Drosophila melanogaster: one gene and its partner. The protein of the gene in region 1 interacts with the protein of each later gene in a pairwise test. Each region holds a gene or a part of one and is shown on either strand. Other genes may lie near its edges. The genes, in order: dnk and fal.

What was found.
Region 2: the proteins of dnk (region 1) and fal interact in a two-hybrid assay, tested with the Drosophila melanogaster proteins (2 studies listed by BioGRID).

What each region holds. Positions count from the first base shown.
Region 1 is NT_033777.3:18,979,043-18,983,249, forward strand, and holds dnk (deoxyribonucleoside kinase), read left to right. Parts: upstream 1-1,952; 5' UTR 1,953-2,152; intron 2,153-2,214; exon of another isoform or gene 2,215-2,282; intron 2,283-2,381; exon of another isoform or gene 2,382-2,509; 5' UTR 2,510-2,529; coding exon 2,530-2,861; intron 2,862-2,937; coding exon 2,938-3,208; intron 3,209-3,265; coding exon 3,266-3,415; 3' UTR 3,416-3,707; downstream 3,708-4,207. Other genes in the region: Smu1 spliceosomal factor, read right to left, coding at 21-119, 182-1,260, 1,328-1,586, 1,643-1,709, 1,778-1,803; snRNP-U1-C (small ribonucleoprotein particle U1 subunit C), read right to left, coding at 4,061-4,207. UniProt on the Drosophila melanogaster protein: Deoxyribonucleoside kinase that has a broad specificity phosphorylating thymidine, 2'-deoxyriboadenosine, 2'-deoxyribocytidine and 2'-deoxyriboguanosine. Specificity is higher for pyrimidine nucleosides.
Region 2 is NT_037436.4:19,292,660-19,299,489, forward strand, and holds fal (falten), read left to right. Parts: upstream 1-1,904; 5' UTR 1,905-2,439; exon of another isoform or gene 2,440-2,539; intron 2,540-3,483; exon of another isoform or gene 3,484-3,637; intron 3,638-3,691; exon of another isoform or gene 3,692-3,900; intron 3,901-3,953; exon of another isoform or gene 3,954-4,184; intron 4,185-4,386; coding exon 4,387-4,553; intron 4,554-4,617; coding exon 4,618-4,789; intron 4,790-4,859; coding exon 4,860-5,560; intron 5,561-5,618; coding exon 5,619-5,685; 3' UTR 5,686-6,171; downstream 6,172-6,830.

The DNA of each region.
Region 1 (4,207 bases):
AAGTCAATTGCTTATATGGTCTAAGGCTTCCAAAGCTTCAGCAGGCCGTCCTCACTGTAGCTGGCCAGTAGATTTTGATGCGGATGATGTGTCAGGCCAATGACGTCCTTTTCATGAACCTATGGAATAAATATCACGTTTAAAGTCAGTTTGAAAACAAATAGTTTAAAGAGCAGCTTACGTTCAAAGTACGTTCAAGTTTACCGGAGGAGACGGAGAAACAGTAAAGCACCTGATCCTCTCCAGCGCAGTATATGAACTCTCCTCGCGGCGAAAGAGTGGCTGAGATAAAGGCACCGCCCTCGCGCTTACCCGACGAGAAGGATCGCACAATCTGGCCCTGCATGTTCATAATGACAACCGTATTGGATCTGTTGCAGACAATGAAGTGTTCGGGATTCTTGGGCAGAATGAGGACTGTGTTTACGGCCAACTCGTTGCCAAGGGGCTTGTACGTGGCCACGCACTCGGTCGTTTTAAGGGACCAAACCTTTACTGTGCCGTCGGAAGATGCGCTGAGCACGCTGTGTCCGTCAGGCGTAAAGGTGGCTTCGTTCACAAAGGAGGAATGCCCCTTGAACTCCTTCAGCATCTTTCCCGACTTCAGCCCGTGCAGTCTCACCGTGTAGTCGAAGGATGCGCTGAGTACCTGGCTGTTATCTCGCGAGAACTGCAGACAGGTTATTCCCTTGGTGTGGGCTTTCTCGAATTTACGCAAACACTGACCGGTGATGATGCGCCACACCTTGATTTGGCCATCCTGTGCGCCCGATGCCACCATCTCGGAATCTCGTGAGAAGTTCAACGCCAGCACCGCCTGTTCCATCATCATGAACTGGTCCTGCGCCTGGTACTTCAGATCCTTTCTCACCTTGCCGGTGGTAAAGTTCCACACCTCAAGGAAACCGTCCACACTGCCCGTTATCAGATACTGACCATCCGGCGAGAACTGAGCGCACTCAACGTGCGACTTTTGGCCAAATTTGATTTGTCGGAACAGCTGGGTGGGATACATTTCTTCTTCCTGGTCCTTCATCGCCGCCTTGCCGCGGAACAAATCAATGGTGGTGCCGGGCGGAAGGAGTCCCTGGTGCTGTTGCCATTTAAGAGCCTGTCCCAGGAGTGCCAAGAGCCTGGAGGAGGGCACCACATGCACCTCGCCACTTAGCTCTTGGGCAATGACCGTGCGCCGCTTTTCCTTGCTACTTCCCTCTGCATAGGCTTCCCTGGGATCGAAGTAAGCGCGCTGCAGCATGTTTTCTACAGACAAATATACCAATTAGGAATCACGAACTCTAGTGAAACCTTAGAATGGCTTATATTTTACCCAAATGGATGTATCGTTCGGGCTCCTGCTGCTTCAACATGGTCATGGGATCCGTCTGGCGGAGCAGAGATCTTGCTGCGCCCAGTTCTCTGAGCTCGATCAGCTCCAAGACTATTTGCTCGTATAGATTGAGCAGCTTCTTATCCGGTAATTTGAGAGACTGGGTCACTTTTAGCACGGTGTCCCAGTGCCCGTTGGAGATATCCTGCACAAAGCCATCCACGCTGTCCACCGTATTCAGGGAGACACCCGTTTCCTCCTGAAAGTTTAAGATCATTGAAAGACAAACTCTCTCCGCGGTGTGTAAGTACTAACCTGTAACGTTTGCAGGGTCTTCATAAGGTTGGACTCCTTCAGATACTGCTGGATGAGCCGAATCACACTTTGTTTGGGGGGGAAATCACGGATCTAGTAAAAACTGAGTGGTGTTGGTCGATTTACAGTACTTACTCCGCTGATTCGATTTCTATGGACATCGTAAACTAATTTCCCGGTTTAAGATTCCTTTTAAAAATAAGTTTTAATACAGGTTTATAAAAATGTACAATAATATTGATAAAAAATGCGTCGTCGTAGGGATGGCGAAAAACAGATACTATGCACAGAACAGCTGACCGTTATCGTTATCGCCGACAGCTGATTCTCAGTATAGGCAAAAAGAAAATTCATTTCACAACGTTAAATAAAATAAATAAGAGGCCATAAAAGTTGTGAGCAATAAATGTTTAATTTTATTGCTATCAGTGGTATTTGTATTTAATAAATTTGTAAAAACAGCAATGTCCAGCAAGCACATGTGGCAGAAAAACATTATATCATTAATAGGTAATTCAACCAGCATTGGCTTAAACTTTAAGTTTTTGTAAAGATGTATGTAAAAACATTACCGGCAATAGAATAGACACACACACACACACACACACAGTTACCGATCAGCCGGTTGACAAAAACAAGCATAACGATAGGTAACACCGATTAAAAAAAAAAGAAACAAATGGCGATGTTCCCGCTCTTTTTGTTTTTCGGCGGTAAACGATCTGACCAGGCGGGTTGAATCAGTCACCATATTCCCGCCGCCGTGTACAGTACTCCATCGAATCCGGAACAATCAACTTCAACCGCGATCCGTTGCTGCTGTGCTGTACCTAAAACAGTTAGTAAAACTCCCAATCTCACGTGCAGATCGCCGATTATCCGGACTGATGGCGGAGGCAGCATCCTGTGCCCGAAAGGGGACCAAGTACGCCGAGGGCACCCAGCCCTTCACCGTCCTCATCGAGGGCAACATCGGCAGCGGGAAGACCACGTATTTGAACCACTTCGAGAAGTACAAGAACGACATTTGCCTGCTGACCGAGCCCGTCGAGAAGTGGCGCAACGTCAACGGGGTAAATCTGCTGGAGCTGATGTACAAAGATCCCAAGAAGTGGGCCATGCCCTTTCAGAGTTATGTCACGCTGACCATGCTGCAGTCGCACACCGCCCCAACCAACAAGAAGCTAAAAATAATGGAGCGCTCCATTTTTAGCGCTCGGTGAGTGCATTATTCCCGTCGTCCGGTTTGACCAGAAACGCTAAACGAAACTTATCCATTACCCATCGCGCCGCAGCTATTGCTTCGTGGAGAACATGCGACGAAACGGCTCGCTGGAGCAGGGCATGTACAATACGCTGGAGGAGTGGTACAAGTTCATCGAAGAGTCCATTCACGTGCAGGCGGACCTCATCATATATCTGCGCACCTCGCCGGAGGTGGCGTACGAACGCATCCGGCAGCGGGCTCGTTCTGAGGAGAGCTGCGTGCCGCTTAAGTACCTTCAGGAGCTGCATGAGTTGCACGAGGACTGGTTGATACACCAGAGACGACCGCAGTCGTGCAAGGTAGTTTCTACACAAGCTCACATCTACCGAAGCCGCTAAATATGCATTTTTCCTCAGGTCCTAGTCCTCGATGCCGATCTGAACCTGGAAAACATTGGCACCGAGTACCAGCGCTCGGAGAGCAGCATATTCGACGCCATCTCAAGTAACCAACAGCCCTCGCCGGTTCTGGTGTCGCCCAGCAAGCGCCAGAGGGTCGCCAGATAACCATTATCCCATTAGTACCTAATTGTGTGTAGTACAGACGTTTAAAATAATATTATAAGAGGCCTAGACGAGCCGATTCGCGGGACAAAGGCAGAAACTTACACTTCGAGCCAATGATTAACACATTCGTATATTAACAATTATAATCCACATTATATTCTCTTCACAGCAACTAGTATGTAAGCTCAAAATATTGTAATAAAAACTGTGAATGTTTATGTTAAAGGCAAGGCACCTACTATTTTTGTGTTAGCATTTCAGTTCACTTGCATTTTAACTATATTGTGTTGGACAATGAAATCATTAAATGCCTTCTCTAGCATTGATTTTTGTTATCTTTTTCTGAAGCGGGGTTTTTTAAAGTCATAATAATGTGTGCACCGTAAAAGCGGCGTGATCTTATGCCTGCTGAACTCTAATGTGACTGCATGCGCTTCTCATTACTGACCTAAATATATATACTTTATTTCTCTATTGACTTCCACCCACAAAGACAACCATTTGTTGAGTCAACTTGCTTTATATAAATGTATATAATTAATTGTTTTCGCTATCGGGCTTACTTAAATGCTACAGCTTAATTAGGACATCGCAAGGAGAGCACTCCATCTGTGCTGTGAACGTTGATGCCGTTCCTGAGGGCGTTCACTTGGGTCCGTTCATGATTCCTGGACGGACGCCGGGTATAGTGCCCAGTGGAGGCGGTGGTCCCATCATGGCCATGGGATTCATAATCGGTGGCGGACGCATGCCCATCATGGGGTTCATCAGTGGAGGCATATAGGGCATTCC
Region 2 (6,830 bases), on another chromosome or scaffold:
CGATTGGAGAGAGGCAAACTCAGGAGAGAGCAAATTTTAAGCACTGGGTGGTGGCCGCCAACATGGAATGAATTTAAAAAAGGTTATATTTAGTATTTAATGAAATATATATAATAATATATATTTATCCAGAAAGAATACCTCTAGCTTCTTTAAGCCCAAGGTAAATTATATTTAATCGCTTTAAAATATCGAAATCATTTTAACCTTTATTGTGGCCTATAAAAAGATAACGTTAGAACAGAAATATATTTTTTATCGAGTATATTACCACTGTGCAGCATTTGTTTGCATTTTGACTACGCTCTTGATTTCTCCCAGTGATATCTCTCCATATTGGCTCTCTTTATCGCTTCACTCAGTCAAGTGTGGAGCCGGCTTTTTTTTTAAATTCCTGTTTTTTGTTTATATTGGCATATCAAAATTGTTTGTCCAATGCTTGTTTTCGTTTCATTGTTTTATTAATTGCTCTTGTTCAATTTTTCGTTTACCTATCTGGGGTTGAGTATTTCACTTACACACTGAAGATAAACTGCGGCACAGATACAAATGTATCTTAGTGCGAATTGTATGTGTTCTCTGTTATTCTTTAAGTGCGTTGACTGTCGGGAGTATTCTACGAGGAGATGCAGAAACTGCAATGCAACCTAAAATGAAATTGCATTTATTTAGGCTGCAGATAAAGATACAAAGATACATTCTCTTTGCCGCGAATCTGTTAGCCTCTCTTTGCGTTTTCCTCTTGTCCTGAAGAGAAATCAGTGTGCTACTTTCATCTGTAGGTCAGCGGCAACTTTCGCTTTCACTTCAGTGCGACGGCGCTCTCAGCAAAAGCAATTTCCACGCTAAGTGAGCCACGTGCCAGCCCCCCGCCTATCCCCGGAAAATATATCCCGCAGAATCTGATGTTGAAAGAATGGGAGCTACCTATTATTCGGTATAAATCAGTGTTTTTATCACATGACATTTAATTAACTGTAATTTAATTTTGAAATTCGGGTGTGTTAATCAAAAACTACATGAAGTCATTTTTTATTTTTCTTGTCAAGAGTATCACTTAAAAATAAAATGTATTTCATTTAAGAATGGGGTTTGCCATGATTAGGTATGTGGTTTAGTTTTAAAATAGCTTTTTTTGTAAGTGCACTAAGTCGGATATATCACGAAAAAAATTATTAAATATTAAATAAGCTTTAGCGAATACTGCGTGAACATTTAATAGATAAGCTGAAAACTTTGAATGCTATAGATTATCCCTTTTTTTAAGGCCTTAAGATAATTAATAGAACTGTCTATGGGGCGTTCTGTATGTGCTACAAGGTGTTTTTGGTATACCGATAGAAATTGGCAATAAATCCATTAAAACACAAAAAAATCAAAATATTTTTCAAAAGTGTGGGCGCGGTATTTTTGGGTTTTGTCAAATCGATAGAAATTTAATAATATTAAAAAATATCGTAACATTTTTAAAAAGTGTGGGCGTTATAGTGGGGGCGTGGCAACATTTATAGTTCCTGAAATCTGTGCGTTTATACGGACGGACATAAAAAACGACATGAACAGATCGACTATGCTATTGATCCTAATAAAGAATGATTTCAACGAATCTAGTATACTACCTTTTATACTACGATTAACGAGTATAGAAATGCTTGTAGTATTTCCATCCAGAATTCCCTAATTCTAAGGATACATAGCGCTGCCATCCCTTTTTCAAGGATGTTGGGAGCTGCCATCCTGACTGTTGGGGATGAGTACTCAACTCTAATCGATAAATCAGCATTGGCAGATATCTAAAAAGCGGAGACACACACCTTAAAACCAAGTTTCGCCGCACTCCGCATAGGTGGCGCATGCCTCTCTGCCAAAATATATTAAAAACTCTTAATTTCTAAATTACCTTTAATGTTTTCTCTACATACTTTACAAAAAGTGTATTATTAAATTTAACAATGAAGTGATACTGGCACATATTTTGTATTTTTTCTACATTCGCGTCTACGTCAAAATGAATAGCTTTACCGTTTGAAAGCGTCGCCATTCCTGTGCAGCTTTTATCGCATCCCTGGTCGATAGCTGCAATCAGCTGTGCGCTACCATCGCCAAATTTACAGTTGTGTACGTTCTGCTTGACGAATCGGAGTCGCTATAAAATGTAAAAAAATACCCGGATGTTATATATTCGCACAAATCGGCGGGAAGACAGCCTTCAAGACGTCGTGCTGTGCGCATTTTCGGGTTTGCTTCGGACGCGGATTGTCGATAAGCAGGAATCCAATTAGAATGTCAGCCAGCGCAGTGATTCACTCCCTCGCTCAGCGACGGCGCTCTCTTTCTCTTCCCCTCTCCAACGAACCAAAGAACTCGAAACTCCCGCTTTCCCAACAACAACTACAACAGCAGCAGCATGGACACCACGAACAACAACAACGCCCATCTGTGAGTTAACCGTTTGTTATGGGTTGCTAGTGAAGCATGACAGCTGATTGCACTTGCAAAAAAAGAGCGCATTAATAGCTCTTGACCTACTAAACTTTGCGCATTGCGTGAGGCTTATAAATTAGTTGCACTAGTGTAATGCTACAATCTGCCACATATTGTAAAATAAATAATGAAGTACTAAGTCATGGCACATCAATATGTTGAGCACATCAATGTTTTAGCAATAACGTATTTTTCAGTCGCCTTTGTAATCAAATGGTTGTTATAAACTTTCTTCTATTCAAAACCGTACGCTAATCTATTACTGCGGAAATTTAATAAAAATCACTAGCTTAAAAAGGAGCGTAAATTATCTGGGTTGGAAATCTAAAGTATTTTGGTAATTCGAAAGCTGGATTCTTTTAAAGACTTTTCCCCACCATTTAGTTTCTTCCCCAAGTATTAAAAATATAAAGATTTTAATTGGTCTCCATAACATTGCTGCCATTTTAAAATTAAAAAATTTTTGTAAATATAAACATCAGAAAATCAAGAGCTTTATGAGAAACGTGTAAACTTAATGCTGTGCCAAAACTTGATTTTGTTCTTGAGTTCAAGAATACAGAGCTTATGTACCAAACTATCAAGCTCCAGTTCTAGTTCTAGTTTGACCGTTGATAGAGGTGCAGTTGCAAGACAACTTACGTTTCTCTCATTATTATTATTCAAGAAGAAAATGTATGACATATAACTGTTACAAACACTGTTTAAATTAATATTTGTAGAATGCTATGTGGTTTCATTTCGAACACGAATTTTAGAATGGACTTTAGATCTTTTCTATTATGTGGAATCCCCCATTTTTTGGTACTTTGATAGGGTTATATTTATTTTGCTATGTTTGTTGAGAAAGATAAGAAAGTTCCGCAAATAACTCTACTACCACATAAAGTTATTATCAGCAGGTTATACGTTACACGATCCAAACACTTTTTTTTTATATATATTTTCATAAATTAAAGTGACCCATGATTTAAAGTATTACTCTGATTTAAATTTAAGTGCAGACAAAAATAGTACAAACTTCGTCGACATTCTGACAAAAATGAAAATACTTGCTAACTTGATCCTCGCACTTCCTCTGGGAAGCAACAGTCCGTGTCCATATCCATTGAAGCTGTTAAAAAACCATCGTTTGAAGATCCGCCCAGCGACTGTGAGAAATGAGTGTTTGAACCAATGTGGATTGTTTTAAGATTGAATATTGCAGATCGGCACGGTTGTGACATTGATAACAGCAATTGTTGTTGCTGTATTTAACAATAATGCCGCTTACATGTTGTCGAAAAATGAGAAGCTGGTTATCGCATCCTTGATTTACATGCTGATTGTTAATTTACTAATTTTTTGCAAGCCGGCAAGCATTCTGGTTTTAATGACTTTGTATGCAGCAGCCCAAGTGCTAACCCTTCCATATTGGTAAGACCGATCTATTTGTATACAAATCATTTTGAAATCATACTCGTCCGTAGTGTCCTGCTCATCCTTAACATCCGCCGGATGATCGATGGCCAGCTCGAGAGGCAGGAGTGTGCTATGGCCGCCCTGGGGCTTGTTCCAGACATAATAGGCCTAAGTCTCTTTATAGTCTCCATGTGCCTGGGTGGAGGATTCGGAAGCTCCGAAGGAAGTAGCAGTGGAAGTAGCAGTGGAGGTAGCAGTGGGGGTAGCAGCAGTGGCTGTAGCACCGGTACTGGTGGCAGGTAGCCTTACTTCTGTGATGTACCTAAATTATATGTATATCCCATCTTTGGCCCACAAATAATAATAATCTACATAAGAAGTAAAGGGATAATTTTAATTATTTGGGTCAGGCAGAGTAAGCCATATAGAATATGGCTCTTGCAATAAGTTTCTTTGCTTTTGAACTTTGCTTAAAACTTTTATCACGTTTATTTCCTTTAGATGCTTATTGAGGATGAGGTTCACGGTGTAATCGAACTGTCGAGCCATATCCAAGAGATCGTCGAGCATCCACTCTTCCAGCGCCTCAAACATGTCCACCAGTTGGGTCTCCTTCCGTGGGCCATCGATAAGAAGGCCGATCACAAGCGATACGATCATTGCCTTGGGTAAGAAACACAAGAAGTAATATTGATTTATAAGTAAACTTTGTTTTTTTTTTTTTAATCTTAGAGCCTACAAAAGCGCGCAGGATCACCTTAGGGCCATCGAACGTAATTCGCATTACGAGCCAAAGCTTCCGGATTGGTGTCGTCAGGCGGTGGAGATAGCCGCTCTCCTTCACGACATTGGTCACGGACCAATGTCACATGCCTGGGAGTTGGTGACCCACCATGAATTTGATGTAAGTTATCTGTACTGGCACCCCTAGCAATTCCTGAGGTGGTCAACTGATATTCCTGTTTCTATTATAGCACGAGGAAAACGCAATGGCCTGTGTGGATAAAATTTTTAAGGATGCCCTCAATCAGGAGCTAGTCTCCTTGAGAGATGATGGTGGCGGGCGAGGTGTTCAATTGATAAAGGCTTTGATATTGGGATCCAGTGAGAATCTGCCGTTCCCCATGCTGGGACATACCTACATCTTTGATATTGTGCATAATCGTCGCTGCGGATTGGATGTGGATAAATGGGATTATCTGCGGCGTGATAACAAGCGCCTGAAAATACTCAGCTCTGCGGAAATGGACTTTGATGATGTATTTCTTCAGGCTCGCATATCACCTGATGGTCAACGCATAGAGTATCGTTATGCTGACTATCATCGGGTATATCGCTTGTTCGAGGCGCGATCGCTGCTCCACGTAAAGGCCTATCAATATCCGCTAACTTGTGCCATGGATGTTATTTTTGTCAGTGTAGTACAACGTATTGCTCCAGAACTACTAAGTATTCGCTCAAAGGATCCAAAGTGGCTGGAATTGACCGACGAGTATGTTTTAAATGTCATTGAAAAGGATCCTATATCGAGATATGTAAAAGAACCTCATCGACTCGTAGAAGTCCCCAGCAACGACTGTTCCGGATCGGACATCATACGGGTGAACAGGGTCATACCTGGACCTTGGGAGCTTATAAAATCCGCAAGGGAGTTAGCTTTCTTTGGCAATAAGCGGTATACATATGTTTACTCCGATAACTATAGATCACGAGTTAATTATTTTTATTTCCAGCAAGAAGCGTCCAATTACCCGATGTGTAAGCCCGACGATAGTCAACAAGTGCTTTAAGTTAGAGTAGAAACATCCACCAGAGAATAGTTCATGTTAAGTCAACAAACAAACGTATGTTATTGTTTCCATTCGCTTCGTTTTCTTATATTTAATAAACTATATTTCATAAAAAGATGTACAAATACTCCAACGGTTGCGTTCGTAGTGCGGCCATTCTTATTGCCATTTACATTTTGTTATCCAGCATAGTCGTTGAGTTTTTTTTAGTTATTTAATGTTCTTTATTTTTATTTTTCGTTTCCATTTATAGTTAAAACTGTGAAATCAGTGGAAAGACAATATGTTCTTAAAATATTCATTTATTAGTTTATACAGTGTTTATCATAATCGACTTAAAACTAAAATACTAAACCAAAAATTTCAACAGTTCACTTGAAGACATCACAATTCAAACTCAGGTCTTTATAACATAAGGTACTTACTAATCTATATAAATATAAGATGCATTTGTCATATTTTTGATAACCGCTTTGAAATATACACAAGAGAAAACAATAATGGGGAACTTAGCTGACTACAGGTTTCGAGTACGATTTTGTTTATCATATTTGTTCCTACAATTTGTTCGTGATTTGTGAAGAGTACAGTTCAATTGCCAATCAGGCCGGGCAGATGTGCTGAGTCTGTTATAATCCGCTGTGGTAAGTGGGCAGCCAGATATTGTTTGTGGAGTCTCTGGCGGCAAAATTGATAGAACTCAATCTCGTTCGTAAAGTTCCGACGCACTATGTCCTTCACATGCTCGCTGACCGGCGGCTTGAAGTTGTTCTTGTTGATCTTCGTCAAGTACTCTGCGCTGGCTAAAATGGGAATTTTAAACAAATACATGAGTCAGGAATTGTGTACCATTAAGATGGTTGTAGCTCAGTTTTGCCAAGTTCACAGAACGATATCAATTGTAAGTGTGATACAACATTGTATACGTAGAGCACAAGTGGCTTTATAACTTAATACTTTGTACTACATTGAAGTGTAAAATGAAAACAAAAGCATTGAACAAATATTTTTAGATTCGACTTCAATGTAGGTGACGCTGAGCTTCATTACTATCAACTTACTTGCATAAATATCTCGAACGCCCTCAAAGAACCGTGGTACATATTTTTCAAGTACTGAGAGCGTGGTGTTCAGATCCTCCAGCACTCCAACCAC